Linked DNA regions of Tamandua tetradactyla. The protein of the gene in region 1 purifies or fractionates together with the protein of each later gene. This does not show direct contact. Links are inferred from orthologs where the notes say so. Each region holds a gene or a part of one and is shown on either strand. Other genes may lie near its edges. The genes, in order: protein argonaute-4 and TNRC6A.

Region 1 (15,969 bases):
GTCATTCACCACTTTTTCTCTTACTTATTATTTGCATATAAGCATCATAAGTGGGAGAAAATGTCAGCTTTATCTTGGTATGCCCTCTGGCATTTTGTATACAATGCAGGCAGTTTAACATTTGTTGAATTTGAAAAAAAAAATTCGGTTTGCAAACAATTTACTGAATGTAAACATTACTCTTTAGCTGTGCTAAACTCAATGTTTTTATGAATATCTTAATATTTTGACATAGGATCATAGAAAAACTTAGAATTTCAGGTTGGTAGGGTAGAAGTAAGTTCCCAATAACACAACAAAACAGCAATGTACTTACTTCGTATATTATCAACTATCAACAGGCTTCCATTTTAAACAAGGTTTAGATAATTCTGATGTCCTATCAAATTCATTAAAATGAGATTCTACCTGTATCTGGTACATTTGTTGAATAAGATCATGCATGCAGGTATTGGTTTCTCCTGTATCCCTGACGTCACAGTGCAAATAATTGAAAGCTTCCAGGATAAATCACTCAGGGGAGACATCCCACAATTCAAAGGATTACCTCGGTTGGTTTCAGGTTCATCAAGTATCACAAAAGAATTGTCATCGGCACCCAGTCGAGGTTTAATGGAAACATCTATTCCCAGTTGCTTAAGTCTATCCAGAACGAATCGTCTCCCTTTTTCAGGTGGCACAGCTGCTGCTAATTTAGCTCGTTGTCCAGGCTCTTTCACCTTTCGGTCTGTTTCTGTTCCATTCAGGCCTTCTTCTCTCTCCAAGGCTTGAGGTTCAAGCACCACAAGCCCTCCAGCCTGACATTCATTGCCCTCCTTGCTCATGAGGAAGCTGGATTCCAGTTGCTCCACTGCGCTGTCCCCAGGTAAAGGTCTAGCATTATTCTGCTTCTGTTTCTCTTGAATGTCCACCTCTTCACTTCCCACCAAATCCTTACTGCAAAACTCATCTGATGCAGTAGTAATCTGGGGTTCCTGTGAAACTGTAGGAAGCGGATTAACTTCCATTTCATATTCCGTGCCTGCTGTCTGCTCACAATCTTTGCTATGGTGGTCACTGTGCATTTCAGTTGTATTTGCAGTGTCTATGATTTCTCTGTTGTGGCCTGAATGATACTTAGATGACCTGGAGAAGGGAAAAATAAGCAGGACTTCAAAATTATCCTAAATGTTAAACATTCTCACTCCTTAGCGCACAATGAAAATCAGTTAAGTCAGTTTTAAGGGAGTGAGAAATCTAAATTTTTCACTCCAGATGTTTGCTACAAAACTGAATGTTTAAGAAAAGTATAATCACAAGGAAAGAGGGTTCTTACTTCAGCAGTGCCATGGCATTTCCCCGGCAGGTGGGTCGGGGTTTACGTTTGAAGAAATCGTGAATGGTTTTATTCTCAGGCATATGATAAGGAAGATTAAGTGCTGACTCTATAAAATGGAACAAAACAAGCAAATACAAGTACTGTATGTTCTGAAAATATCACTTCATATTCAGTTAACCAAACGGTACAGCCAAGGCCATCATCAGAAAAAAATCCCCAGTTCAACAAAGGCAGGAGATAAATACAAAAGAGCTCCCCAAAGACCAGTAGCTTTTTAAACCTGGTTGTGAAATAAAAATGATCCAGGAAGCTTTTTAAAAATATATATTCTTAGACCCCACTTCAAAGCTACTGACTCAGACTCTCTGTGGGGCCTAAGAATGATTATATTTGAAAATCTTCCAAAGAGATCCTGATACAGCCAGTCCACAGACACCCATTTAAGAAAAAAACCTCTTTTTTACCTCTACTGTAGTTCTGAACTACAGTTTATACTAAAGTTCCAAGGGATTTAGGACAGTGTCCATTCACCAAATCAGTTCTAAACTCGATATTATAATCCAAATGTATATTAGGAGTATTAAAAAAAATCAATCCCCAACATTCAAATTGAGCTTACAAAATTTACTATACAATAAGACTGCTTCCATTTGAAATGCATTATTACCTCTAAGAATATCATATTCAAGAGGAATCCCCCAAATACAAGTATATGATATTCTTAGAGGTAATAATGCATGATCCTATTTTATAAACTTTTGAACTATGTATTTGACATGTAAAATATGTACAGTATTGATATCAACCATCTCTTAAAATGTTAGCCTATAGATATCATTGTATAATTTTCTTTGGTCAGAAACATTTGGATCAAGTAGTACCACTTGGGTCAGGATCTTCAGTGCCATTTACCAAATGATTGTCTTTAGTTGATGCAACTAGCAGCATTCCAAGGTTTTCTATTTGCATAATGCAGCAGAATATTTACAGTAGTCACACTTTAAATTCAGGGGGGATTCTTCTGGAATTCAGTCTAGCAAATTTAGAGGAAAGGCCCTAAGGAAATGTATTTATCTTAAGAGAATAAGCCAATATTTTCAAGCTGAACAGCTGAAACTACTACAGATAATAAAGTCTATTGAGAGGATCATTTGTGTTTTTTGTGTGGTGTGTGCATAAAATTGCAGAGGTAAGTTTTTCAGTCCCATGTGCCACTCAAATAAAAAACAGAAAAACACTAGTATTGTAAATTAAGACTTGTAGACATGAGGTACAAATTGTCCTACATGTTTTATAAATAGGTAACTTTTTCCAAGCAAACACATCCCATTCAGTTCTGTTGATCACATCATTGTGTAAAACAGAGACACAGAAGGGAAGCAAATGATTGCTGTACATATTTTGAATTATTTTGCATGGTCTCATTTGAGATAATTGGTGTAAGAATCTAGACTTTTTTTTTTGTATGCTCTATGGCGGGGTCACATTTCCTTATTTTTCCATGTATTTTGTTACTGCAGTACCATTTGTTGAATTTTTGTTTTTTGTTTGTTTGTTTTGTTTTGTGGGAAGTGCGTGGACCGGGAATCCAAACTGGGTCTTCCACGTGGCAGGCGAGAATTCTACCATTGGACTACCCTCACAACCCCCCTTTTAAAAGTATATATTTGGAAATATTGAATAAAAATGTAAATATGAAAAAAAAATTTACCATACAGGTTTGTATTACCTCGAATAAGGCGCTGAGTCTCACTATGCAGTTTTTTTAACGCTTCCTTACTTAACTTGGCTGCCTTCCTTTCCTTAAAGAAAACAAAAAGTGAGATTACATTAGTGGTATTTTCCAGAAAGGTATTCATCCTTCAAGAGTCTGCTCCCTCCAAATAAGATGATGGAATAGTAAATACTAATGAACTCAATACAATCTAAACTCAAGGATTTCATTTATTCGCAACTCTCAGAGAATTAATTCAATCCAATCTATATATGTCCCTACTACGTGCAAAGCAGTAAGTTGGGTACCAGAAAAATACTCTAATAGACACAGAAGCCCATAATCTCATGGGAAAGACATCAAAGTCTACATGATTACATAAGGCTCGACTTACCTTCCTCATGGTGCCTTTTGATAATTCACTTTCTTCTTCAACTGAATAGATCCCACTCTCCAACAATGGCTCCTTTTTCTAAAAGAGATTGCAAGTTGATTAATATGAACAAAAACTAAAGTAATGTAAGTGGATGTTTCTTGACTGCTTTAATAGTTCAGCAACACTTCATCCTACATTAGTAAAAAATTAGTAACTATCAAAGAGGAATTTTGAAAGATACAGTACCCAAAAATGGTTAGAAAAATAACCTAGATGTCTCAAATGGAGCGTGGATCCTCATTTCTTATACCTCTTTCTTACATTTTTCTCCAAGGAGGGATAATGACTCCCAGGAAGTGAAAGAAAACCTTAGGAAGAACAATTATACTTCCAGACACTAAGGAAACGATGTTTTTGACTGAGGCCTCTCTTTGATTTCCTTCCTAGAGGGTTCATTCTCAGAGGTCACAAGGTTATAAAATTCACACATCTGACCTATTATTTACCTGCTTCTTACCACAACATAATGTATCTTTCTTTCTTTTTTTTTTTATTCTTAAACAGGCAATAGCAAAGTACTAGTTTCTGAACAAGTTAGCATGTCTATCACTTATACTGCAAGTTTCCAAAATTAACAACTGAAAACCTCAAATCAATTTACACATGCTTTTCTTCAGGTTATAAAAAAATAAGGTTCCAACTGTAAATAAAAAAATAAAGCAAAAGTTAGAAGCAGCTGGTTAGCTCTGTCCGCAATCATCCTTTACTTGCCTTGTGCTTTTTCACTTTGTTTTTCACAGCTGCCCTTATTGATTCTAATGATTCTTCATCTTCCAACGGAGAGTTATTTTCCTCCTCCAACCCACTTTCAAAAAGGTCTTTATCCATAAGAAGACAGCCACTGTCATTAAATGGCTGTTTCACATCAGCTTCCTGAATAGTACATAAAGAAAAAGCACAATTCAGTCATTTAAAAATGCAGTATTTCAAAACATCACATGGCAATTTGGTTTAGGCCAGAAAAAGCCCACGTTGCATCAGCAGACAAGTTATGTGGCATTCTAGAACAATGTAACCCACAGTTATCCCTTGAAGTTCAAGCTGCGATTTTATGTAACCGTCCAAAATAAACTAACCAATAAATAGTTTCTGAAAAACAAAAAACTTATTAACCAACTAGTTTATAAAGCTTGACTGATAGATGCATAAAAATTCTCCTCTGAAACTTACTTTTTATCAGTTCACAAGCAGTAAAGAATTACTGTATGTGCTAACAAAGAAAATCACAAACCCATTTATTTGGGGGTCTCTTCTGAGTATCCAAAACAGATAATGAGACCTACATAGTTTAAATCATATAACCCATAACTTCCAGTGCAAAGCAATCAACTCAAAGTTATATTCTCTGAGCGTAGGGACAAACTTGAGGACTAAAAGCAAATTTTCTAAAATGTTAATCTGCCTTAGAAATAGCAAATTATTCTTTAAAATGTACCTCGTTCACTGTTTCCTTCTTTTTTAGCCGCCTAATTTTTTCCATCTTTTTCCCCTCTTTCTCAAGTCTTCTCTTAGATTTTACTTTTGCTTTTCCTCCTGTTCCTTCTTTATGACATATGGGATTTTTTACAATCTGTCTGTCAAGTGTAAAGTCCACAGATTTTTCAGGTTGGAGACTTGGATCAAAGCAAGGTATCCCTTGGGTTTTAAGATTTTCCCAATACAAAGACTCCTCAGTGTCATTTTCATTACTGTCTGCCAAAGTTTTGTAAATTCTTCTGGGTTTTCCATTTTTCCCAGCATATACATTCTCTTTATTTTCCTCTTCTGTACTCTCATAGGTAGTTTTCTCTGGAGAGGCATTTCTATCCTCTGTTTCAGAATCACTGTCTTGGAATATTTTCCTGCTTTTCAGTTTCTTACTCACAAAAATCTCTTCATCTGAATCTGGAGGAAACACAATTCTTTTTAAAGGTATACAATCATTTGTCCTTCCTCCTTGTTCCCTCACTTTTCAAAAACATGCAATTATACTAGTGAGACATTACCTTGTGATATTTTGTAACTACCACTAAGAACTGAATGTAGCAAAGAAACTCTAAAAATACATTTTGAAAAACATTTTCCCTGGAAAAATGCCTCTTGCTGAGAAATGTAATTATATATATTTACAATGTGTCAAGTTGTTCTAATCCTTCTGACAGGTGTTAAAAATCCCTTTATTATAGGATGAATGTGTTCAACTAGGCAATATGGTAATTTCTAAACATGCTATACATTCAATAATATAATACAGATATTTTCAAAGAGGTATAATGTTTTTTTGCTTTTATAACAAACAAACAATAAGCTTAGTGCATTAATAATTTAACAAATCAGGAGAATAATGAAATTAATCCAATCTACTTATAGCATAGGACTCTATGTTCTATTCTTGAAAATAAAAGTATGAGATATTACAAACCTCTTTCACTCAAGGGCCCCACTGTTTCACAGCTGCCCTGTCCACTGTCTGAGGGACTATCTGCCTCTTCATGTGAAATCAGTTTTGGATCATTGATTTCTAGGTGAACCTACAGAATGCAAATATACTTTACATTAACCAGCAGGTGACAGAAAGCACCAATACCTAATGATACACAAATCGTCATGGGAACATCAGAAGTAATGAAGAAACTTGTGCAATGGTTCAATGAAGGCATGGCATTAAGAAGTACTGGACAAAAACAAATAAAAATTCATTGGTCACCTTTGAAGGATGCTATAGAACCAACACTTTATTTTTAATAATAGTAAATAAATGAAAGGAAGCAGTTATTTATTATGGTTTTCCTGTGTAAACAGTTCCTCACTGTGTACAAAAATGATTGATGAGAGGAAGTTTTCCCTTAGGGAAATATCCTAGCTAATCAATAAAAAAGAAGTGATAGAATTAGACAACCAGAATTTTAGCAACCCTCCCTCAAATAACAGAACTAGGCAATGATCCTCAAGGGTGGCTAACATGACAAAACAAGAGAAACAACCAGACTTATGTGCTGCCTGATAGAAGTACTCAATACCACCTAGGAAACATTCTTGCCAAAACAATAAAATCTAAATATGATCAAGTCTCTAGCCAAACTACTCGTTTAAAGGAAATATAGGGACAGAGGAACATGTTAAGTAACACCACATAGATGCAATTCAGAATGTAGGAAACTCTTCTACAGGACAAACTATACAGATTCTCTAACAAATAAAATTGCAAGAAAAAAGAGAGGGATTAAATAGAGTTACGATATTTATCAACAATTGCAACATACAGACCTTGTCTGGATCCTGATTCAAACAAAATTGAAAAAAATGTAAGTCAACTAGAGTTTTAATATTAAGGAGCAATTCTAAAATTTCAATTTTAGCAATTAAAAATTTAGTGTTAATTGTGATTTATGTTTTTTCAGAAAGCCCTATTATGGGATAAATCACATCCCCTACAAAATCTTAACTCCCCATTCTGTGAATGTGAACTGATGTGTAAAAAGGATCTTTGAAGATGTTATTAGTTATAGTGAGATCATATAGAATCAGGGGAGGCCTCAATCCAGTATGACTTATAAGCAGTGGAAATGTGGACAGTTGACAGGAGATAGATGATAATGTGACAAAGGCAGAGATAGTTATGGATTGCTAACAAGCCTCCACCAGAATGCTGCAGACTCCAGAGAAAGCACAATCTTGCCAACACCTTGATTTTGGACTTATAGTCTCCAAAACTATGAGACAGTACATTCCTCTTCTTTAAGCCGAACAGTCTGTGGTGTTAAAGCAGCCCTAGTAAACTAAGACAGCCCTTAGCTTTTAGGGACGCATGCTGAAATATGTGGATGGAATGCTATGATGTATGGTTTTGTTTCCAAGTAATCAGGTATAGGGGGCAGTGGGTAAGGGTATAGGAGAAACAAGACTGGCCATGATTTGAAAAGTGTTGGAGTTGAGTGATGGGTTCATTGTATCAGTCTCTCTAAGTCTGTATAGGTTTAGGAATTTATTTTTAAAAAGTCACAAACTAGAAAAACTTAAGGAGAGGTGTATTAAATGACTTGACCAGTTAGTGACAAAGCAGACCCCAGAAGCCAGGTCTACTACCTCCTTAGTGTTCTCAGGGCTCTAAGTCAAAACTTCTTAAAAAGGGGGAAAATATTAACATCTGTAATGTAACAGGGCACAAGGCCTTACCTCTCAAATAACTATTAAATCGATTTCAATGTCTGATACACCTATTAAAATAATGACAAAATGTAACACACTGAGGAATCACTGGGAATTATGAGGTAAATCCTGATTATCCTTCCAACAATCCAAAAAGGATTAGTTCTGTTTGCAGATGCAGAAATTGAGTTTAGATAACCACACAGCGCTGTACACGATAAAGCTTTTAATCTTTTCCATTCCAGGCAATTTCTAGCAGCAGCTGCTACAACAAAAGCAGGAGGAGATGGTGACACACCAGAAAAACTCAGTAATCAAGATAAATAATATTTTAATGCAATATCTTTTAAAGTATCAAAATGGCAGACTATGGCTCATGGGGTCAGTTGCTTGTTTTTTGTTTTTTTTTTCCCAGTTGCTTGTTTTTGTAAATAAAATTTCATTGGACTGAAATCAGGGACTGGATTACTGTAAGGAGAATGAGGTGGGGTAAGGTGAGTGAGGCAGGGAGGATCTTGTCTTTATTTGATATTTTGTTCAATTATCAAATCATGGAATTTTTTGCATTAATTTTGATTTTTGTGGGTTTCTTGTTCTTTTTTTAAAAACAATTATTTTGAAAAATAACATGCAAAAAAGTGATAAATTTCAAAGTACATTTTAACAAGTAGTTACAGAACAAATTTCAAAGTATGATTTGAGTTACACTTGCACAAGTTCAGATATTTCCCCCTAGCTATTCTAATACACTGGAGACTAAAAAGAAATATCAATATGATTCAATAGTCATACTGATTTGTTAAATCCTATCTTCTGGGTTATAACTCCTCCTTCTCCTTTGAACCTTCTCCCAAACTTTAGGGCTATTTGGGGAATGACCATTCTAAAATCTTCATGTTGAAAAGGGGTGTTGACCTTATGGGGTAGGGGGATGCAGCTGGTTGATGTTCTTGGAGAGACTGGTACCTCTGGGTTTCAGGGATTAGCTGGTATAGGAACAATCTGGAGGTTTTAGGTTTCAGAAAAGCAAACTCAGTAAGTGAAACTTTATTATACAGTCTCAGAGTACTGGGTATTCTTTAGGGTTTTCAGGAATACTGTTGGTTGGGATTTAGCATACCATGGCATTTTGCAATATCTAGCTGAAGCCTGCATAAGAGTAACCTCCAGAACAGTCTCCCGACTCTATTTAAAATCTCTTAGTTATTGAAATTTTATTTTATTACATTTCTTTTCCCCCATTTGGTCAGGAACACATTATCAATGTTTCGAATTAATTTTGATTTAAAAACTATTAGATATTTTAGCCAGAGGGGTTTTTATTGTTTCTTTTTGTTTTGCCGCCTTAAATTCTGCACCCCAGAAAACAGTAGGAATCTGGAAATGTAGTTTTTAAGCCCAAAAGTCAGCCATCAATCGGGAAGGCTCGAAACCGCTCCTTCCCCACAGCGGGCCTAGTCGGAGAACGGGGGGAGAGGGAGGGAGGGCTTAGGGTGACATCAGCGCGCGAGGACATCAAAGGCCCCTTCTAGACTCAAATCTCAAACTTCCCAACAACGCTGCCTCTATCGAGAATCCTGCCCTGCACTCTGGCGACCCTATTCGGCCTGGGCCTTCCTCTTTTGGGGCGATTTAAGAGGAAAAGCAACCGCGTCAGGAAACGCGCCAAAGCAGAGAGGCAGGTGGAGGAGAGATGGGCAAGCGCTAGACAACAATTGGCTGCAGGCAAGGGGCGCCGCAAAGACTCCGGAAGCCGGAGAGCGGGAATCCAGGAACTGCAGGAATCCGCCCGCGGAAAAGTAACCCGCAGAGTCCCGGGGCCGCCGAGCCGGCCGCGGGGCACGCCGGGAGTTGTAGTCCTCCAGGCCAGGCGAACCCGGCTCTGCTAGTCTCCATCAGTGCCCCTCCCCGCCCCTCGGCGCCGGGCCTCAACAGCCCGGATGGAGGGACGTACATACATTCACCTCAGGAGCCACGTCTCCCGTCATGATTCCAGTCACCACAGCGCTGTGCTCTGGACCAAGCAGCTTTCCGGCTCCTTGTCTGGGAGTACCCGCTCCAGCCGTCTTCAGCTATGCTGCCCGCTTCGAGCTTTCGCGCCCAGCCGGAGTGGAAGCCCCACCCTCGATGATTTGCACCAATCGGAAAGAGGCTTTCGGAGTCTCTGCCCCCCACTCCGTCCTACCAATCACTAAGCGCCTCCGAGTAGTATAATCTGGGTCGGGTTGGCGGGTCGCGATTCGTCTTGTCAGCTGAGCGGGTGCTGGGGTGAAGGTGCGCTAAAGTATCGGGAGATCGGGTTTCTGGCCTTGCAAGAAGGTAACAAGCCAGTGGTGATCTTTGACCTTTGACCCTTGCCATAGCTCGGCCACTCCCATCCAGCGCAATTTGAGGAGTGAGCCCTCCAGGCGGTTAGTGAGCTGGGAGGAGGTCCCAGGGCTCCTGTGGTGTTCTGAATCTTTCCAGCGGGAGTCCAGGCACCTCTGGGGGACTTCTCCAATTGCTCCAGCCCTTCAGCCAGCTATATTCCGTCTGCCCCTTCTTGTGTATGACATTCATGCCACGGAGCACAAAAGAAAAGAAACATTGTGGTCTGCTCACATAGCAAAGACTATCTTTGTCATCCATCCCACTTCAATCTTTCTGTAAAGCAAAAAGGTAAAAGCTTTGGAGTCACAGTAATCCCAGAGAATTCTAATCCCAGTTTTGCCAGTAGGTTGGTTATCTTTTTGCTACTCCAGGTCCATTTCCTGTCCTTTCTTTCTCCTGCCCTGTGTCACAGCAAAATGAACCTCCCGGCACTGCATTACTCCATCTTGTGGTCAGGCTTCAGGTTGGGTTAGGCCATCGAAGGGCACCATGAGGAGAACAAAGAGCGCAAGGAAAGAAAAATCAGCCTATTTACCACACCTACCACCTCTCCCACTCACAGTTCTATCCACCAGTAGGATGACCAACTAGTCCCAGTTTGCCCAGGACTTTCCCAGTTTTAACACTGAAACTCCCACATCTCTGGGACCCTGCCGGACAAACTGGGATGGTTGGTCACCCTCTCCGCTGGTTCCCTCTTCCAAGTTTTCTAAGGTGCTGGGAAATGGGTGTTATAGTTAAGAGCCATTTATTGGTAGAATCAACAAAACTTGGAGACTGATTAGATGGAGGAATGAAAGGAAAGAATTGAAAATTTTGAATTTGGAAGACAGAGTAGAGGTGATTATGAGATAAGCAGAGTAGGTTTGAGGTGCAAATGATTAGACAAGTTTGACATTTGCTGGATACTTCATTAGGGAGTTGAAAATTTCTTTCACAAGTTGCAGAGAGATTTGAAGATACACTTTTGAGAGAGAATTCGGGAAGAATAATATATGTCAAGTACATTCAACAAATATTTATTGATTCCCCTACCATGAGCCAGGGATGTTCTTGGTTCTCAATGTGTGGTTCCCAGACCAACAAACAACATCAGCATCATCTGGGAACTTGTTAGAAATGCAATTCTCAGACCCCACTTCAGGCATGTTGAATCAGAAACTTTGGGGGCAGGAAGTCTCACCACTGTGGGTTTTAACAAGCTTTTGAAATGATTTTGATGCCTGCTCAAGGTAGAGAATAGCTATTGGTAAATAATACAAAGTGCTTGTCCTTTTGGAACAGAAAATAAATAGACATAAATAAAATTTCAGACAATAATAAATGCTACTGGGAAACTAGAGCAGGGAAAGGAGGGAAAATGCAGAGACTACTCAGGCAAGTTCTCTTGGATGGCTTCTAGGATCCCTGAAGTCAGAACAGGGTGTGACTCCCCGTTACTAGCTTTTTAAAGGCCTTTAGTTTCCTCATCTGCTAAAATGGAGGTAACAGTATTACTTAAATCACAAGGTTACTGTGAAGAGTAATAAGATGAGACTTATAATTACTTCTGGCACGGAGTCAGCGCCCCCAAAATCTTAGCCCTCTAAATATGAGAGTGAGTGCTATAGATGCATATTTTGGAATCGTCAGTGTAGAAATTAATAATAAAAGGATAAAGGTGGATAGAGTGAGACATGAGAGGAAAAGAGGATGATGATAGGATCTTATTGGTGGGTGTGGGGATAGAAGGCAGTTTGTAATTGGTTGAGTAATGAATGAGAGGTGAAGAAAGGAAGCTGAAGTTCCTAGAGTACCTTTTGATGGAGATGGAAGGTGGCTGCAAGGGAAAGATCTGTAGTGTTTAAAGGGATTAGCCTGAGCCTGTCCCATAGATGACTTTATGGCCTTATGTAAGTCATTTAGCTTTTCAGAGCCCTGCTGTCTTATTTACAGACCTTGGATCAGCTCATGATTCTCAGATTGGCTTAACTGACAGAGCACCTGAAAGTATGGTATTTGTAGGAAATGCTTTGCAATATTGCTGATTTTAATCCAGTAATATAAATTCAGAAAAGTTTCTGCTAGTAGAATCTATCATTCCATCACACTAATCAATATTAAAAAGAAATACTGAAATTACATGTCCATGAAATCATAAGCCATGGAACTTAACATGCTCAGCCCATTCCAAAGTATTCTATTTTTATTTGCTCACTGGTACACAATCAAATGCAGGCCCCAAAGGCTTAAGAAAGTTTGGAAGGAGAAAATTAACTAAATTGTATCTTTTATTTCAACTTCTCTGCAAATTGAGAAAGCCTACCATGTTTATTTTCTAGTGCTGTTATTCCTCTGAACCAAGTTTGAGATCGACTTGCTTTTCTAAAGTCCTAAAACCTCTAGAATCACCAAACACGGATTTTTAATCTTCATCCCTGGGAAGCAGCGCCACCATGTGTTATGTCTTGGTCATGTCAATCCATCCATGGTTAGCAGCCACTCCATCCTAAAACCATTTTCTTTTCATTTTAAGATTGTTCAGAGTTACTTAAAGTTTCCTTTGGTGGCATGAAATGCTTATTTTCTCCAAGTATCTGCTTTTAAAAACGACCCCTTGCCATTTTTCTATATATTTAAAAAGCTTCTTTTGCAAAGTGCCCTCTTGAAGGCCAGGGCTATTTTTCTTGCTTACTATAGTTAACCCCTGACCTTTAAAAATGGCACTGGACCTGACACATTGTAGACACTTAATAAATAATTGCTGACTGAATCATTAAAATATCATAGCCTAAAAAAAAAAAAAAGTACCAGGGCCTTTTCCCATCAGCTATTTTGTGTGCAGAATGTCCTTTGCCACAACCTAAAGTACCCATAACATACTCATCCACTTATTTGAGAAATCTTGAGCACCTATTTTAAGCCTATTCTAGATGCTGAAAATATAAAGATAAATAAAATACAGCCTTGTTCTCAAAGAGTTTCACATTGCTGGGTTGGAAACAGGCAAGCAAACAAGAGTGTGCAATAATGGAAGAGCAAATATAAATGGAACAACTTTGGGATGAGCTAAGCATGTTAAATTTCATAGCTTATTATTTCATAGACATGTAATTTCAGACTTTCTTTTTAATATTGATTTGTGTGGTGGAATGATAGATCTACTAGTAGAAAGTTTTCTGAATTTATATCACCAGATTAAAATCAAGTGGCTTTGGGGGCCTGAGGTGGGGCAAATGGCTTCACCTTGGGAAAGTCAGCAAGAGATGATCCCTGAACTGATTTTTGAAGATGAATTGGAATTCTGCAGGCCAACGTGGGGAGAAGAAGACATGCAAGGCATGTGTAGAGGCTTGATGCAGCATGTTATGTTTGGGAAACTAAAAGTAGATCAGTATGAGGAAGTCATGGGGGGGATAGTTGGGGTACAGCTAGACAAAACGATATTGTATCCACTATGGGCCAAAAGGTGATTTTGCCACTGGTATTCAATCAGGGGATTTGTCACAGTTGTTATAATGACTAAGGTTTTACTGGCCAAGGTGGGGCCAGTAAAGGGTGGGGCCATGGTTGCTAAACATCAGTGAAAAACTGATGTTTATGTCCGTGTTTATATAGGCAAAGAAGAAAACGGATACTATTTTAGGCAGGGAAAATGGAATGGGTAAAGGCATGGAGACAGGAATGATGATAAGATTTTTAGGGAATGACAACAAAGGATCATTGTGGATCATTGTGGAAGATTGTGAGAATAATCATGGCGTTCTGTCGTCTCCCTTTTACATAGTGATTTTGCCATTCTTCCCATCAAGAGGCAGAATCTTGTTCTCCATCTCTTGAATTTGGGCTGAACTTGTGACTTACATTGGTTGACAGCATATGGTGAAAGTAAAATTGTGTGGCTTCTGAGGCTGGGCCTTAAGGGGCTGTGTAGCTTCCACTTTCATTATCTTAAACTACTGCCACCACCATTTCAGAAACCCAAGCTATCCTTTTGAATGAACCACATAGAGGAGAATCAAGACATCCCAGCCAACAGCAAACGGTCAGACCTGATCATCCTGGACCATCCAGCCCTACTGAGCCTCCATATGAATGCAAACACAAGAGTGACCAAGGGTGAGACAGCAGAATCGCCCAGCTAAACCCAGCCAAAATTACAGAAATAAATGGTTGTTTTAAGTTGCTATATCTTGGTGCTATGCAGCACCTGAAAATTGGCCAGGCCAAGTGATACTGTTTTGAATAAACTCTTATGAAGATTACATTCTTGTAGCAGTAGATAGACAATAGACAATACGTAGATAAATATTTAATAGATCAGGCAGTGATAAGTCCTTTGAAGAAAAATAAAGGGTGCTAAAGGTTAGAGAGTGATAATGTGGTTGGGGGTTGTGCCAGTTTGAAAGGATGTATGTACCCTAGAAAAGCCATGTTTTAATCCTAATTCCATTTTGTAAAGGCAGCTGTTTCTTCTAATCCCTATTCAGTACTGTATGTCTGAAACTTTAATTCGATCACCTCCCTGGAGATGTGACTCAATGAAAAATGGTTGTTAAACTGGATTAGGTGGAGATGTGTCTGCACCCCTTCCAGGTGGGTCTTGATTACTTTACTGAAATCCTATAAAAGAGGAAACATTTTGACGAAAGGAGGAGATTCCTAGTTTAATTGGGATATTTTCTCAGCCTTAGAACTGTAAACTAGGAACTTATTAAATTCCCCCTTTTTAAAAGCCATTTCATTTCTGGTATATTGCATTCTGACAGCTAGCAAACTAGAACAGGGGCGAGGGGAAAGAAGTGCTATTTTGGAAAGAAAGATCCTTTGAAGAAAATATGGGAATGTTCTAGAAAAGAGGTTTTCATGCTGAATGACCCTCTAGCAATTATTAGCAAGTTTTCCCATGATATTAACCCAGATAAAATTAATTTATAAAATCATAAAAAGTCAACTCTGGGAGAAACTTTAGAAATCAGCTCATCCTTTCTCCTCATCTAAACAAGTGAACCCCAGAAGGGGAAGGTGTTATGTTGTCTATATTTTACTTTTAATATTTCAAACTAGAAAGTGTAATATACATGTGTGTGAGCTACTTTCAGTGTAAAACCTGGAGACCATTTGTAACACTTGAAGTACCCTAATAAGAAATATCAAACTCTAGAAGTGGTTAGTATCTGAGAAATTCCAATCAATAGTCCACGTTCTAGTAGCACTTATTGCAATAATGTCAACCACCTTCATCTCCAGTCAGCACTAAAGAGCAGTTAGATGTGGCTAGATGCTAGATGTCAAATATAGTTTTTATGGGTAAAATGAGTGGTGTCAAGATATGTGATTTGGCTAGAAATATCGTACGTGGATCCTCCAACCTTCGTGACCAAGATATGAGAATCTAGTGGGCCTAGCAACAATATTTCTCAGAGTGGTTTTAAGGGCTAGGAACTCTTCAGTCCTTTTCTCCCCTGATACCTTATTCTGACTAGGGGGTTAGTTTGATCCTGGTGCTAGAATATTCTTGTTACATAAAGAAACCTTTCATGCAATGTGCTTGGCAGAGTGCTTAAATGGGCCAAGAGCTGGAATTTCATCAAGTCTACAAGTTGTATGACTGGTTTTGCCTGCTTGTTAATAAATATTTGATCAAGTGGCAGGTTTAATTCTGAGACTTGCTTCCATTGTAACACATGATTTGGTAGTAAAGTCTGGGGAATGAACACATGTTCATCTCTCAGTGTTAGAAATTATTATCTGCCTTCCTCCCCTTGATAACAAAAAACCACTCAGGAATCAATAAATACATATTTATTATTATTATATAATTAATAAGTAAACAAATTGGCTTGGATTAGTTTGTAATCGAAGATGATTTGCCTAAGGTCACCAAACAAATTGATTCCTTCCACCATTTAATGCCAAATCAAACAATTTACACCCATATTACCAAAGAAAAACCAGCCAATGTTGAGTTAAGGTGTACAATGCAGTGTTTTAGGAAGTTGGGCTTGCTTCAGCCTGGAGAAT
Region 2 (16,344 bases), on another chromosome or scaffold:
AAACTACAGGCACAAGATCTGAAAAGTAGTAGGGATTATGAAATAGAAGTAAAGTAGTTTAGTTTGGAATATAAGGGATTTGTAGCAAATAGTTGTGGCCAAATTTGGAGTTTCTTGAATGTCAAATTGAGGAGCTTGCCTAAATCTTTTTGTAGTGGAGAGCTTTTGCATGCTTTAGGACTGAGTAGCGACAAGAGCACAGTAGTAGTCTTAGGGGCTGGGATTATTGGTTAGACATAATTATGGGAGATCAGCTAGTGATCTGGGCAAGAGGTCATGAACACCTGAATTAAAGGGTGATAGAAGAGAGTGTGAAATGCTGTGGAGGTGGAATTTGGGATTTGGTGGCTGATTACTTGTGAGAGGAATCTAAATACACAGAGGTCTCCATTTTGGATCAATGAGAAATTGACCCAGCCTCTGATCAGAATGGAGATCAGAATACTAATAGGAGTCTGGGGAAAGAATATGATGTCTCATTTTCCGGTTGTATAAAATCTCTTCTAGTGCTATGCAGTTGGTCTAATTTGTACGTATATTTTGGAGGCCATAGTCATAGAATCATTGAGTATTTAGAGCTGGTTATGACCTTAGATAGAGATCAGCCAGTATTTTGACCTCTTCTTTTTACAAAAGCTATGGTTGAGCCAGTATTTTGACCCATTCATTTTACAAAAGCTGTGGTTGAGAAGATCAAGTAACTTGCTCAAGGTTATATTCTCTGACCAAGTGACGGGGCTGGGATTCAAACAAGGCATTTTGACTCCAACTCTAGTGTTCTTCCTAGTATTTTATTTTATGCTTCACAATAGGAAAAATATAATTTTGATATCTCCTTTTTTTCTGAAAAGGTAAGAACAGTTATGTCTATATTTTATGCCCTTTCAAGAAATGAGTAATCTACTTTAATGTAGGCTGCATACTTCATGTTATATTGTTTATTTTTTCCCCCTCCTAAACCAGATATTGAATGCCATTGTTCAACAAAAGTTTTTAAAAGTACTTCATTATACCACATAATATAGCATGTAAACAGGGACACTGTTCGAAACACTTCTGCCTGGGGAAAATGTTATATCATAAGAGACTGTAACAACAGGAGTAAATTGGAATATTTAGTCTCCCTAGCTAACTAAAATGGATCCTGCTCTTACAATTCATCAATCTTTACCTGAAAAGTCTGTTTTTGTTAAACTTTTCTGTTGTTTTCCAGGGATATGATTTGCAGGCTGGTGAATTCATATTAATATGTGTTTCTAGCCTAATTTGGCCGACTATATGATAAATAAATTGATAGAACAAATAAAGCGCAAATTGTATGCTTAGTTTAAAATGTGTAGCAACTGTCGGGGGAAAATTTGAATATAAACATCATAAAATCTGACTCCTATTCTGTAGCCTGTTCTGCATTTTGGCATCTGAAATATGCCTGCAAGTACAAATTGGAAAGACTTAAAATCCATTATAGTTGTGTTTTATGACAACCTCAAAAGTATTGCCTGTGATTGAAAAACTAAAGATCTAGGTATGTATATTATGGGTTCTCTTCAGATTGACTTATGACAGGTCTGTCACTCAAGAAAAACTCCCCCTTCCATTTTAAATAAAGAAGGGGGGAAAAAACCCTAAAAAGAACAGTGGACTGAGTAGATATATTTCTTACCTAGATTTACTAATTATTTACCAATTAGCATTTTGTTACTTGTGTATCTCCCAAGAACAAGGACATTTTACCTAACAACGAATTACCGCACAGGGGAAATTAAACTTTGTCACAATACTATTTCGTTCATATCCAAATTTCCCCAATGGTCCCAGTCCTGTCTTTATAGATGCCTTTACTTTTACCCCCCCAGTTCTTTAATCCAGTGTTGCATTTAATTGTCTTGTCTGTTTAGTTTCCTTGCATCAGGAACAGTTCCCTAGCCTTTTCTGCCGCTTTCATGGTATAGTCCAGGCTAGTTGTTTTTGCAGGCTTCACTGTGAATTTGCCTGATGGTTTCCTATGATTCGATGTGGTTTTAAAAATGTTTGGGCAGGAATATCCCATAGGTGATGATTTGTTATTGATGTATTATATCATGCTCCCTCACCCATGATTTTTAAGCAAATTAACTGGAAGGTTATTCAATGCTTTTACCTTTACACTAACTCATTATTTCATTTTAGGAAATAAGCAAGTAGTTTAAACTGAGATGTAATTTAAATGTTTAAGGTTAAAATAATTGTAGGTCTTCATGTTTAAATTGATCAGTTGTAATGATTGATGGTTTTATGAAAGAAGTAGTACCCTTATGAATTGCTAGACATAGACGTTGTTTGTTTTCAGCTTTGACCAATGATATAACTCTGGTAAGAAATTGAAGCGTTGGAGCTGGTTTTGTAATGTGCTTTCTTAAGAAGAATTCCCTTTTGAAGTTCGAGTAGCAGTGTGCCACTAGAACAGGAATTCTCATCCCTCTTATCTGATAGGAGGAAGTGTGAAAAATGGAATGTTTCTTTTTTTAAAAAATAAATTTTAAATAAACTTTTAAAAAATGGCATTTATTAGATTTCAAAGAATCATGGTTCCTGAGAACTTAAGAAGTATTGCATTATAGGAAGGGTGTCAGAGGAGCAGAATAGTGTCAATAAAAGGTGTGAGATTTAAGAACAGAAAGAAACATTGAACCAAGACATGGTTTTTGTTCTAAAAACAAAAGCCATGAAAATAGATGCTGTTTAAATTTCCTTTTTTAAATGGTCTTAGTTTAAGAGTGATTTGTGTTTGCATATTCTGTATGTGTATGTGTTGGCTATGAAGGAGAAATCCTAGCATTTCTATACTAGGGGAAAGCATTTTGAATTTTTAGCAGTGGTATGTTATGTGACGATGACTCAGCTGACTTCCCGTTTCAGATGGAATGTTGAAAACAAATTGAAACCTGGTTGAAGAATTTTATACTTTGAACCTTACAAGATATTTTCTGTAAACAGCAATTGATTGGATTTTGTATAATAACAAACAAGATTCAATTAACTCACTTGTTTTGCTCTCTCTACTATTGGCTTTCCATCAACTAGCATTTATTGAGCAGCTTGCTGCAGTGATATTGAATATTTTTATGGTGTGTTTTGTTGTCTTCAGTCCCTTCTGTTCTTTTGAAGAAGCCTCCCAAAACATGTGTGTCCACACAAGGAAATGGTGGTGCATGATGCTAAATATGCATTGATTTCTAGTGTATTTGATTTCTCTTTGATAAGTGACTATACACAGGATGAAATATTTTATATGTTGTTTTGCTTGGGAATCCCTAGGCTGAATGAAGCATTTACATGCTTACCATATGAAAATAGAGAGGGACCCATAATGTGAATTCTTTTCACTGCTACAGGTTAGTCATCCTCGAGTCACAGTTCTGAGCCTGTCACTGTTTCTTATAAACCTTTGTTGGCTCCCCAGTGACTCAAATTAAAGCTTAGTTTGTTGTTCTCTGCTTAGTTTATCTGTTATTCCTTGTCTCTTCTACCTCTTACCCTATCCTCAAATTCATTCTTCAATTTCTCCCTCAAATTTTAAAACTATTATTGAGATATTATTTATATACTCTCTTAAAGGATTCAGAATGCACAATTCAGTAGTTTTTAGTGTATTCACAGAGTTGTGCAGCAATTACTCTACTTCAGTCTCTATGGGTTTGCCTATTCTGGACATTTCATATATTTACTCTTTGGCCTTTTGTGTCTGTCTTTCACTGAGCTTGTTTTCATGGTTCATCCATTTGTAGCATTTATCATTACTTTATTCTTTTTATGGCTGAATAATATTCCATTGTATGACTACCACATTTTGTTTATCCATTCATTAATTGATGGACAATTTTTGATGTTTCCCCTTTTTGGTTATTATGAATAATACTGCTGTGAGCTGTCATGTACAGGTGTTTGGACATTTCTTCATTTCTCTTGTGTATTTGGAGTGGAATTGCTGGGTCCTACAATAACTCTAATTTTTTGAAACTATCAGTTTTCCAAAGGGGCTGCACATTTTACATTCCCACTAGCAGTGTATGAGGGTTCCAGTTTTTCTCCATTATCATTACCACTTGTTAATTTTTATTGAGATATCTTCATGCACCATGCAGTCTATCCAGAGTACGTAATCAGTAGCTCACAATATCATCACATTATTGTGTATTCGTCACTATGATCATTTTTCAGAACATTTATATCACTCCAGAAAAAGAAATAAAAAGACAAAAGAAAAGCCCCATACATCCTATACCCCTTAGTGTTCCTTCTCATTGGCCACTAAATTGTGATCTACCCAGTTTTTTTTAAATCTCTTACCCCCCCCCCATTATTTATTTATTTATTTATTTGTCCTTATTTTTTTACTCATCTATCCATATCCTGGATAGAGGGAGTGTCAGCCACAGGGTTTTCACAATCACGTGGTTACATTGTAAAAACTATATAATTATACAGTCATCTTCAAAAATCAAGGGCTACTGGAACACAGTTCATCAATTTCAGGTATTTTCCTGTAGCCACTCCAATACACCATAATCTAAAAAGGGATTATATGCATAAGAATAACCTTGAGGATAACCTCTCGACTCTGAAATTTCTTAGCCACTGAAACTTTATTTTGTCTCATTTCTGTTTTCCCCCTTTTGGTCAAGAAGGCTTTCTCAGTCCCATGATGTGGGGTTCCTGCTCATCCCCAGGTTTCATTTCCCATATTGCTAGGAGATCTGCATTCCTGGGAGTTATGTCCCACATAGAGGGGAGGGCAGTGAGTTCACCTGCCAAGTTGACTTAGAGAGGCCACATCTGAGCAACAAAAGAGTTTCTCTGAGGGTGACTCTTAGGCATAATCATAAGTAGGCTTAACTTTTCCTTTGCTGGAATAAGTTTCATAGGGACCAGCCCCAAGATCGAGGGCTTGGCCTATTAAATTGGTTATCCCCAATGCTTGTGAGAATATCATGCATTCCTCAAGTGGGGAAGTTTAATATTTCCTCCTTTCTCTCCAGTCCCTTCAGGGGGCTTTGCAAATGCATTTTTATTCTCTGCCAAAAGGATGTATTGGGGCATCACACTGACCTGTACAAATCAACAGAATCTCACTCCGTAATCAAGATTCTTTGTAATTAAGTTGTTCAAATAAACTGACCATACAGCTAAATTAGATATTGCACCACTTGTTATCTTTTTCGTTGTAGCTATCCTAGTGAGTATAAAATGGTATCTCGTGGTTTTGATTTGCATTTCCCTGATAACTAATGGTGTCAGCAGTTTTTCATGTTCTTACTATTTGCATATCATAGGAGAAATGTCTATTCAGATCCTTGCCCATTTTAAAAATATTACTTGTCTTTATTAGAGAAGTTGTGTATTTACGAAGCAATCATGTATGAAATACAGGATTCCCATATACCACCTATTATTAACACCTTGCATTGGTGTGAATCATTTGTTACAATTGATGATAGCACCTTGTACTATTGCCTACAGTCCATGGTTTAACTTATGGCTCACTGTTTGTATAGTATAGTTCCATGGATTTTGTCCATTTGTTAATTGGGTTATTTGTGTGTGTGTGTGTGTGTGTGTGTGTGTGTGTGTGTGTTCAGTTGTATGAATTCTTTATATATTCTGGATATAAGTCCCTCATCAGATTTATGGTTTCCAAATATTTTCTCCCATTCTGTGAATTCTTTTTCAGTTTCCTGATGGTATCCCTTGAAGAAAAACTTTTAAATTTTAGTAGGTCTTGTGTGTATCTGTTTTGCTTTTTTGGAGGGTGGGGGGTGGAGTGTCACCTGGGTATTGGTACCCAATCCAAGGTCATAAAGATTTACTTCTTTGTTTTCTTCTAAAAATTTTATAGTTTTGGCTGTTACACATAGTTCTATGATTCATTTTTGAGTTAATTTATATATATAGATATATATATCTGGATGTGAATATCCAGTTCCAGCAACATTTGTTGGAAAGACTATTTATCTTGGCACCTTTGTTGAAAATCAGTTGACCATAAATGTAAGAGATTATTTCTGGGCTCTCAATTCTATTCCATTGATTGTATGCCTATAATTATGCCAACTCATACTATCATGATTACTGTAGCTCCACTTTTTGTTCTTTTTCAAGATTATATTGATTATCTTGGGTCCCTTACATTTCTATCTGAATTTTAGGATTAGCTTTCCAGTTTCTGTAACAATGGCAACTGAGGTTTTGATAGGGGTTGTGTTGAATCTGTAGATCAATTTGAGGAGTATTGCCACCATAATTAATATTAAATGTTCCAGCTTATAAACATGGGTTGTCTTTCCATTTACTCGGTCTTTAGTTTTTTTTTCAATGATATCTTGTAGTTTCCACTGCACAAGTCTTGCACATCTTTTGTTAAGTTTATTCCTAGGTATTTATTCTTTTTAGTGCTATCATAAGTGAAATTGTTTTCTAAATTTCATTTTTGGATTGTTCATTGCTAGTGTATACAAATACAGTCAATTTTTCTATGTTGAGCCTGTATCCTGCAGCTGTGCTGAACTGGATTCTTAGCTCTGATAGTGTGTGTATATGTATGTTTGTGTGTGTATTCTTAGGATTTTCTAAATGCAAGAGTGTGTCATCTGTGACTAGAGATGGTCTTTACTTCTTTTCTAATCTGGGTGTCTTTTCTTTCTTTTTCTTTAATTTCCTCAACTAGAACCTCCAGTATGAATAGAGGTGGCAAGAGCAGGTATCCTAGTCTTTTCCCTGAATTTAGGGAAAAGTATTCAGTCTTTTGCCATTAAGTATTGATGTGAACTGTGGGTTTTTTCATAGGTGGTCTTTATCAGGTTAAAGAAGTTTCCTTCTATTCCTTTGTTGTTTTTTCATAGAAAGGATGTTGGAGTTTGTCAAGTGCTTTCTGTGTCTTTTGAGGTTATCATGTGGTGTCTATCCTCTTTTCTATTAATATATTGATGTATTGCATCGGTTGATTTTCATGTGTTATACCAACCTTGCATTCCTGGGATAAATCCCACTTGACCATGATGGACAATTCTTTTTTTATTTATTACTGAATTTGATTTGTTATTCTTTTGTTGAGGATTTTTCAGTCTGTATGTATGAGTCATTGACTTACGATTTTTCTTTGTTGATGCCTTTGTTTGTTTTTAATTCCTTGTACCTGAGTTGATCTGGTTTGGGATCTGGAATCCGGGGCTTCAAGCTATTGATTTGGCATCTACCTCGTTCTGCATTGTGCCGTAATTGTTTTCATATATTCAATTCCTTTTTCTACTGTATGCTCTTTTTTCTGTGGGAGGAAGGGCATGTTGTTATTACAGCCTTTTTTATGTCTTAATCTCAGCCTGGTGTAATATTTTTATCTAGTCTCTTATAGCTAACATTCCATGTACAACTTACTATGTACATATGTTAAGGACTTCATCTGCATTACCTAATTTAATCTTCACAACAACCCTTTGAGGGAGCTGCACTTTGAAACTTCTCACCAATGAGATGGAGGCTTAGAGAAGTTAAACAAGTTGCTTAACGTTACACAGTTAGCTGGTGGAGTTGAGATTTAAGTCCATTTCTCTTTGGCACCAGAGCCTGAGCTCTTAACTGCATGCTGTACTGCCTAGGAAATGCTTATATGAATAGATTGAATTTAAAATGGTCGTTGAAGAAGTAGAATGACAGTAGGACTAAGACTGAAAAGAGTGCATTTTCCATGGTGATGCTGGAGTGATAGGTAGTAAAGGCAAGGAAGCAGAAATTGGCATCTAATTAGAGGGTCCAGTTGTGGGGAGTACAAAACAAGTAGAACTGGTTTTTCTCTTCCAAAGCGACAATTAGTCTTGTTTGAAAGAAGTGAGATTAACATCTGAAATAATTAGAAAGTGAGTGTTATGTAATTAAAGGTCAAGGGTGAGGTCTGTGTGGGCTGAAAAGAATAATGAAGGAACTGATAATTAAGCTAAGCCACAAAAGAAGAGTAGGCTTTAGGTGGGCAGATTTGGCAAACCTGGGATTTGGGTCATCCTTACCAAAGTATTGCCTTGTATTATCTGACAAATCACTTAGATGTTCTGAACCTTGGTCTCTTTTAACTGTCAACTGGGAATAATAGCAGTTTTGTTTCAGGAATATTGTAGGTTCAAAATGGATAATATGTCAGAATACTTTGTATACTACAGAATGATTCTGTCGTTATGGTGGGATGTTTATTATACACTCAGTTTCTAATCTCACCAACTTTCCTCAACCTGAGCTTGTTTTTTTTTTTAACATGGGCAGACATCAGGAAATGAACCCAGGTTTCCGGAACAGCAAGTGAGGACTCTGCCAGTGAACCACTGTTGCCTGCTCAACCTGAGCTTTATATTTTGAAATAATTTCAGTTTTAGAAAAGTGTTCAAGAATGGACAAAGAATTCCCGAATATCCTTCCCTCAGATTCCTCAAATATTGACATTTAACTACATTTGCTTTATCATTCCTTCTTTTTATATGCATAATGTTTTTTTTTCTGAACTGTTTAACTTGCAGTCATGGTATTCCTTTACCCTGAAAAATCCTTAAGCATATGTTTCCTAAAATCAAGGACATTTTCTTAGTAACCACAGTACCATTATCAAAATTGAGAAATTAACAGTGGTATAATCTTCTTAGCTCTACAGACCTTTCTTAGCTCTACAGACCTTACTCAATTGAAATTTTATGAGTTGCCTCAATAATGTCCTTTGAGCAAAACAAAACAGTATTTCCTGGGCACGGATTCAAACCATGATCACATGTGGCATCTAGTTTACATTTGTTTAATAATCTGTTTTTCATTGTTCTTCAAGACCTTGATATTTTTAAAGAGTACAGGCTAGCTTTTCTGTGGAGTATTCTTGTATGTTTGTTGATGTTGCTGTATTTGTCCAGTATTTCTGTATCTGTGTTTTGTCTGATATTTCTTTATGCTTAGATTCAGGTTATGCATTTTTGTCAGGAATAGCACAGAACTGATGTTTCTCTCAGTGCTTGATGTCAGGAGACATGATGTCTATTTACCCCATTACTGGTGATGGTAATTTTAACCACCTAGTTAAGGCAGTATCTGTCTCTTATCATGGCTATAAATGTACTATTTTTGTCTTTGTAATTAATAATTATCTTGTGGGGAGATACTTTGGAGACTGTAAATATCTTTTTTCTCATCAAATTTTCACCCATTCCTTTTAGCATCCATTGATTCTTGCCTGAATCAATTGGTTGGTAAGTGAAGATTTTCTAATTCTATTATTTATACATTAATTGACATTCACTGTAAGATCTGTTACCTTCTACTCTTTTTTAATTAACTTATTAAAATCAGTATGGAATCATAGGTTCTTATTTCTATCCAATGGATTGTAAACCTTTACTAGCATTGTTTATTTTATTACTCAAATTTTGGGGCCATTTAAAAGCCCCTTCAACCTGAGCCTACTTTTTCAAGAGATCTAGGCTGACACTTGGACTCTCATTGCCCCCTCTGCATATTTTATCCCATTTCCTATTTCCTATCTTCCTTTCATTCTTTTTTTTTTTTTAACCCGGGTCTCCGGCATGGTGGTGAGAACTCTGCCTGCTGAACTACGGCGGCCCACCCCTGTTCATTCTTTTTTTTTTCCACATGGGCAGGCTCTGGGAATCGAACCCGGGTCCTCTGGCATGGCAGGCAAGCATTCTTGCCTGCTGAGCCACCGTGGCCTGCCTACCACCCCTGTTCATTCTTAAGAGGAAGTTGTGCTGTTTACCAGCACCTGTGACTCCAGTGCTAAGCTTTCTGCTTGTGTTTTATAGTTCAAAATCATATAATATTTAGAAATACTAAATTTCTTCTCCTTTTCTCCCCTCCCCGCTCTTCCCCCCCCCCAATTTTTTTTAACCACTTAACAACCTACTCCCCCATTATTTATTTTTTGTCCTTATTGTTTTATCATCTGTCCATACCCTGGATAAAGGGAGCATTAGCCACAAAGTTTTCACAATCACATGGTCACACTGTACAAGCTGTATAGTTATACAGCCATCTTCAAGAATCAAGGCTACTGGAACACAGTTCAACAGTTTCAGATATTTCCCTCTAACCCCTCCAATACACCATAAACTAAAAAGGGATATCTATATAATACATAAGAATAACCTCCAGGATAACCTCTTGACTCTGTTTGAACTCTCAGCCACTGAAGGTGAAATAATTTCAGTTGATTTTGTCTCATTTTTCTCTTCCCTCTTTGGTCATGAAGGCTCTCTCAGTCCCATAATGCCGGGTCCTGACTCATCCCCAGGAGTCACGTCCTATGTTGCCATCTTTGTACCTCAAATATGGTACATTATGGGTGTTCACTAACTGTGGTATAATGTTTTTGCCATACCATCCTGCTACAGACATTCAAAGAATAAGAAATATTGAAATTGGACCTAATGCCTTGGGTCCTCTATTTAAAACCAGTGACTGTTCAGTCTTTGTTACTTTTGATGTTAATACCTTAATTACACATCTATGGTTCTTGAAAATATAGTATTTTATTTCCTGACAATACATTCTGTTATAAAAGGGTTCTTGCAGAAGATGGTAAGAAATAAGAAAAAAATGGTGGAGATGCACAGTACAGGGGATAGATATAAGAAGATCTATCAATCTGTCCAGAGAAAAAGAAGATTTATTCTCTGTGGCTCTTGAAAAGAGAGCTAGTACTTTACTTTTAAGAACTGCCATTGTGTAGGTGAAAGGAAAGAACATGATTTTGAGACCCTATATTTAAATTCTGACTCTACTCTGAACTAGCTGTGTGATCTCAGAGAAGTTACTTAACTTTTCTGAGCCTCGATTTCTTTATAAAAAGAAAATATCTTTACCTTTCATTAAAAGATATAAATAAGGAAATACATGTAAAATGCTCAGCATGTCATTGCAGCATTAATCACTCAGAGGTTTGATTTCATTCCTAGGATCCTTAGGACCAGTGAGTGGAAATTACTAAGTAGATATTGGCTTAATGAGGAAAGAATTTTCTAAAAAGAGGCTTAACTGTTGAATAAGCTGCATTTAACATAGCTGACTCTGCCATTGCATGCTGGTAGGGAAGCTCATTCTTGGACAGTGCACATAGTGATTTGTATTGGTTTCTGGAAGATGAGGCTAAAATTTGAAGCTTAGCATGAATAATTGTGTGGAATATGCCATTCTGATTCTGATCTCTTTTTTCCCCTAATCCAAATATTGCATTTCCTCCCATTTTATGTTTAAAAATCAATTTCAAGATATTATTCACATACAGAAAAATTCACACATTGACTTGACAAATACATACACCAGTATAAAACCACCTTCCAATCAAGTTATAGAACATTTCTATCTTCCTATAGCATTGATTCTTAAAATCCATTACAAAGGCTTTATACGTGTAACACAGGCTATAAATAAGTAAAAATACCAAGTTCTTGTAAAAGGGGAGCATTTCTAGAGCAACAAGGCAGATACATAGGTTCTTGCAGATTTGAGGAATCCTGCTACTAGCTTTCAAAGGATGGATGATTGCTGACAGCAATGTTGTCTTAGTGGAGCATGTATCAAACATGATGGAACAATTAGACCTATCAAATCCATCAACTTTTAATCCTTTTGATAGATATGTAAATGATATAGTCAAATATCTTAGTTGAACTGTACTTGCATTTAAGTACAGGAAGCCGAAGGGTTTGGTTACAGATGGTGCATTTATGTATTTTTTCCAGTTGGCTTTCTGAAGGAGGAGATGTGGGGAAAATGTGCCTAGTTGGCTGTGATTATAGTGTTGAAGAGCGGAAGGTTTTCTTTTTTTTCTTTCCTGAAGTGTCCTTACAATACTAGCTGAATTCTGGAGAGGAAGTGTGGTAAATCTTTTAGTATTAAGGAAACCACTTTTGGCCAGAAGAACACTTACTTAGCTTATCAAAAAGCCTTTAAAATGAAATTTGAGAGGAAGGGAGAAAAAATTCCAGATAAATAGTAAGGAATATCCTATAGAGTGACATTACAGTGACATAGAACAGGATTAGAAAAGGAAATGTCTGTAATTCACAGAGCAGAAAGAACAAGTACTGCAGATTTCAGATGTTTCTGTATAATAAGCACTCATAATATCTTAAAACGTGTAGGGAAATACAGTCTTTTGGATGCCACAGAGACTTGGTGAGCGGGGTTTATGCCTAGGCATTTATCTGTTTACTTGAGGCACTGTACTAAGTAAGCACTTCACATTTAATCCTTATAAAAATTCTATGAAGAAGATATATATATGATTATCCCTAATTTTAATATGAAGAAACTGAGGCTGAGGAAGGTTAATATTTAGTACTCAGTGTTTGCTCTTGAGTTCTGCATGTCTTCTAGGATATGATACCCGGGACAGGAAATAAGATGATGATGTAACTAAATTGCATTTGTTTACTAATTTTATTCTATTCCTCATATGCTGTGGCTATATCAGTCCTTGACTTTCCAGGATGGTAGTGTGAGTGAGCTTGCTGCCTCATTACTTCTGTTACACAGAATGTGTGAGAATGAGTCATGTTTACAGTTGACATCAATTTGTTATACTACTCTCTTAGCTACATAATAGCTCTACACAGGACAAAATGACAACAAAGTATAGCAGCAGGTCTCATACTCTTCTACTTTTAACAGATTTTAGCGGTCATATACTTATCTTTACTAAATTATCAATTATGCATAAATTATTTATTTTGCTTTTTACTGTCTACCTGTATCCCCTTTGCATCACTTTAAATAAATTTATTTTATTTTTTAAATAAAATGCAATTTTATTGAGATGTATTCACACACTATACAACCCATCCAAAATATACAGTCAGTGGCTCCCAGGATCATCATGTAGTTGTGCAGTCGCCCCCACAATTAATTTTAGAACCTTTTCATTACTCCAAAAAATAAAATAAAAATATATAGAAGAAAACCCAAAACATTCCATATCCTTAATCCCCCCTATTATTGATCCTGGTATTGGTGTGGTACATTTGTTACTGTTAATGAAAGAATATTAAGATAACTATTTAATATAATCCATAGTTTGCAATAAGTATATTTTCTCCTATTTATCACTCCATTATTAATTCCTTGTAATAGTGTCGTGAATTTATTCTAGTTCATGAAGAACTATTTTATATGTGTACTGTTAATCACAGTCATCGCCCACCATGAGATTTGCTGTTACACATTACCACGTTTTCACCTCTAGCTTTCCTTCTGGTGACATACATAACTTTAAACTGCCTTTTTCAGACACATTCACTCAAAATTCAGCACTGTTAATTATACTCGCAGTAACTTGCTGCTGTCACCTTGATCTGTTTTGAAACATTTAAATTCAGTATGGTTAAACATTCTACACATACTAAGCAAGCACTCCCCATTCTCTAGCCTCGTTCTATTCCCTGGTAGTCTATATTCTACATTTTGTGTCTGTGAGTTTGCATGTTATAAGTAGTTCATATCATTGAGATCATATAATATTTGTCCTTTTATATCTGACTTATTTCACTCAATGTCCTCAAGTTTCATCCATGAAATTTGCTTTAGGATCTCATTTCTTCTTCCTGCTTAATAGCATCCCATCATATGTGTATACCATATTTTGTTTATCCATTTGGTGGTTGAGGGACACTTAGGTTGCTTTTATCTTTTGGCAATTGTGAGTAAAATGCTGCTGTGGACATAGGTGTGCAAGTGTCTGTTCCTATTCCTGATTCATATCTTCTCGGTATGTCCCAAGTAGCCTGATTGCCAGATCATAGGGCCACTCTATCCTTAGCTTTCTGAAGAACTATCAGACTTTTTCTCAGAGCAGCTGTATCATTGTACATTCTCACCAGCAGTGATTAAATGTTTCTATTTCTCCACATCCTCTCCAACACTTGTGGTTTCCTGTTTGTTTGATAGCAGCCATTCTAATAGGTATGAAATGATCTCTCATTGTGGTTTTATTTTGCGTTTCTCTAATAGTTAGTGATGATGTGCTTTTTAGCCATCTGTAATTCTTGTTCATATCTTTTGCCCATTTTTTAATTGGATTGTTAGTCTTTTTATTGTTGAATTGTAGGATTTCTTTATTAAACTTTTATCAGATATGTGGTTTCCAAATATTTTCTCCTTTGAGTTGGCTGCCTTTTCACACTTTTAACAAAGTGTTTTGAAGCACAGACGTAGTCAGTTTTGAGGAGGTCCCATTTATCTATTTCTTCTCTTTGTTGCTTGTACTTTCAGTGTAGGGTCTAAGAAACTACCATCTGTCACTATATAGATCTTAAAGTTGTTTCTCTTTATTTTCTTTAGAAGTTTTATGGTACTGGCTTTTATATTTAGGTCTCTGATCCATTTTTAATTAATTTTTGTATAGGGTGTAAGATAGGGGCACTCTTTCATTCTTTTGGATATGTATATCCGGTTCTCCCAACATCATTTATTGAAGAGGCTGTTCTGTCCCAGTTGAGTGGATTTAGGAGCCTCGTCAAAAATCAATTAACCATAGGCCAAAAAAGCGTAGATGATCTGAGGTTCTTTTTTTCTGAGCCCTCAATTTGATTCCATTGATCAAAAATGTCTATCTTTATGCCAGTACCATGTCGTTTTGACCACTGTGGCTTTATCATCTGCTTTGAAGTCAGAAAGTATGAATCCTCCCACTTCGTTCTTCTTTTTCAAGATGGGTTTTAGCTATTTGAGGCTCCTTACCCTTCCAAATAAATTTGATAATTGGCTTTAACATTTCTGGAAAGTAGGAATTTTGACTGGGATTGCACTGACTATGTAAAATCAATTTGGATAGAATTGACATCTTAACAACATGTAGCCCTCCAGTCCATGAACACAAATGTCTTTCCATTTAGCTGTGTTTTGCAGTTTTCTGTGTATAGATTCTTTATATCCTTGATTAAATTTAATCCTAGATATTTAATTCTTTTAGTTGCTATTGTAACTGGAATTTTTTCCTGGATTTTCCCCTGAGAGTGCTCATTACTAGTTTATAGAGACACTACTGATTTTTGTATGTTGATCTTGTATTCTGCAACTTTGCTGAATGCATTTATTAGCTCTAGTAGCTTTGTCATAGTTTTTTTTTCCTTTTTTCTTTTTTCTAAGTATAGGATCATGTCATATAGTGACATCGTGCACATATAGTGAAAGTTTTACTTCTTCCTTTCCGATTTGGATGCCTTTGGTTTCTTTTTCTGGGCTAATTGTTTTGGCAAGGACTTCTAGCATTATGATGAATTAAAGTAGTGACTGGGCATCCTTGTCTTGCTCCCAGTTGGAGAGGGAAAGCTTTCAGTCTCTCACCGTTCTATGATATTAGGTGTGGGTTTTTCATATATGTCCTTTATCATGTTGAGGAAGTTTCCTTCAATTCCTGCTTTTCAAAGTGTTTTTATCAAGAAAGGATGCCGGATTTTGTCAGATGCCTTTTTTTTTTCATCAATGTCATCATATAGTTTTTCCATTTTGATTTGTTGATGTGTATTATATTAATTGATTTTCTTGTGTTGAATGACCTTTGCATACCTGGAATAAAATTATTTGGTCATGGTGTATAATTCTTTTAATAGGTTGTTGGAGTCAATTTGTAAGTATTTTATTGAGAATTTTCGCATCTATATTCAATAAAGAGATTGGTCTGTAATTTTCTTTAGCATCTTTAGCAGACTTTGATATTCAGGTGATGTTGGCTTCATAGAATGAGTTGGGTAGTGTACCCTCTTCAACTTTTGGAAGAGTTTGAGCAGGAATGTTGTTAATTTCAAGGAACATCTGGTAAAATTCATCTGTGAAGTCATCTGGTCCTGGGCTTTTCTTTGTTGAAAGATTTTTGATGACCGATTCTAACTCTACTTGTGTTTGGTTTGTTGAGGTCTTATATTTCTTCTTGATTCAGTGTGGGTTGTCCATGTGTTTCTAGGAGTTTGTCCATTTCATTTAAGTTGTCTAGTTGTTCGCATGCAGTTGTTCATAGTATTTCTATATGATCTTTATTTCTTTGGGGTCCATGGTAATGACCCTCTTCTCTTCTGATTTTGTTTATTTGCATCTTCTCTCTTTTGTCTTTGTCAGTCCAGCTAAGGTTTGTTGATTTTATTGATTGTCTCAAGAACCAACTTTTGGTTTTATTGATTCTATTGGTTTTTTCCTCTCTCCATTTCATTTATTTCTGCTCTAATCTTTATTTCTTTCCTTCTGCTTGCTTTGGGATTAATGTGCTGTTTTTTCTCTAGATTCTCCAGTTATTCAGTTGCATCACTGGTTTTAGCTCTTAATACTTTTTAAATG

What was found.
Region 2: the proteins of protein argonaute-4 (region 1) and TNRC6A purify together in Homo sapiens (co-immunoprecipitation; 4 studies listed by BioGRID and IntAct, with this or other methods). This does not show direct contact. The link is inferred for Tamandua tetradactyla from reciprocal best matches to the Homo sapiens genes AGO4 and TNRC6A.

The regions. Positions count from the first base shown.
Region 1 is NC_135328.1:189,608,965-189,624,933, reverse strand, and holds the start of protein argonaute-4, read left to right. Parts: upstream 1-9,825; 5' UTR 9,826-9,915; intron 9,916-15,969. Other genes in the region: CLSPN (claspin), read right to left, coding at 548-1,125, 1,316-1,424, 3,048-3,120, 3,427-3,504, 4,180-4,341, 4,904-5,352, 5,870-5,978, 9,555-9,584.
Region 2 is NC_135349.1:32,289,094-32,305,437, reverse strand, and holds the start of TNRC6A (trinucleotide repeat-containing gene 6A protein), read left to right. Parts: upstream 1-9,287; 5' UTR 9,288-16,344.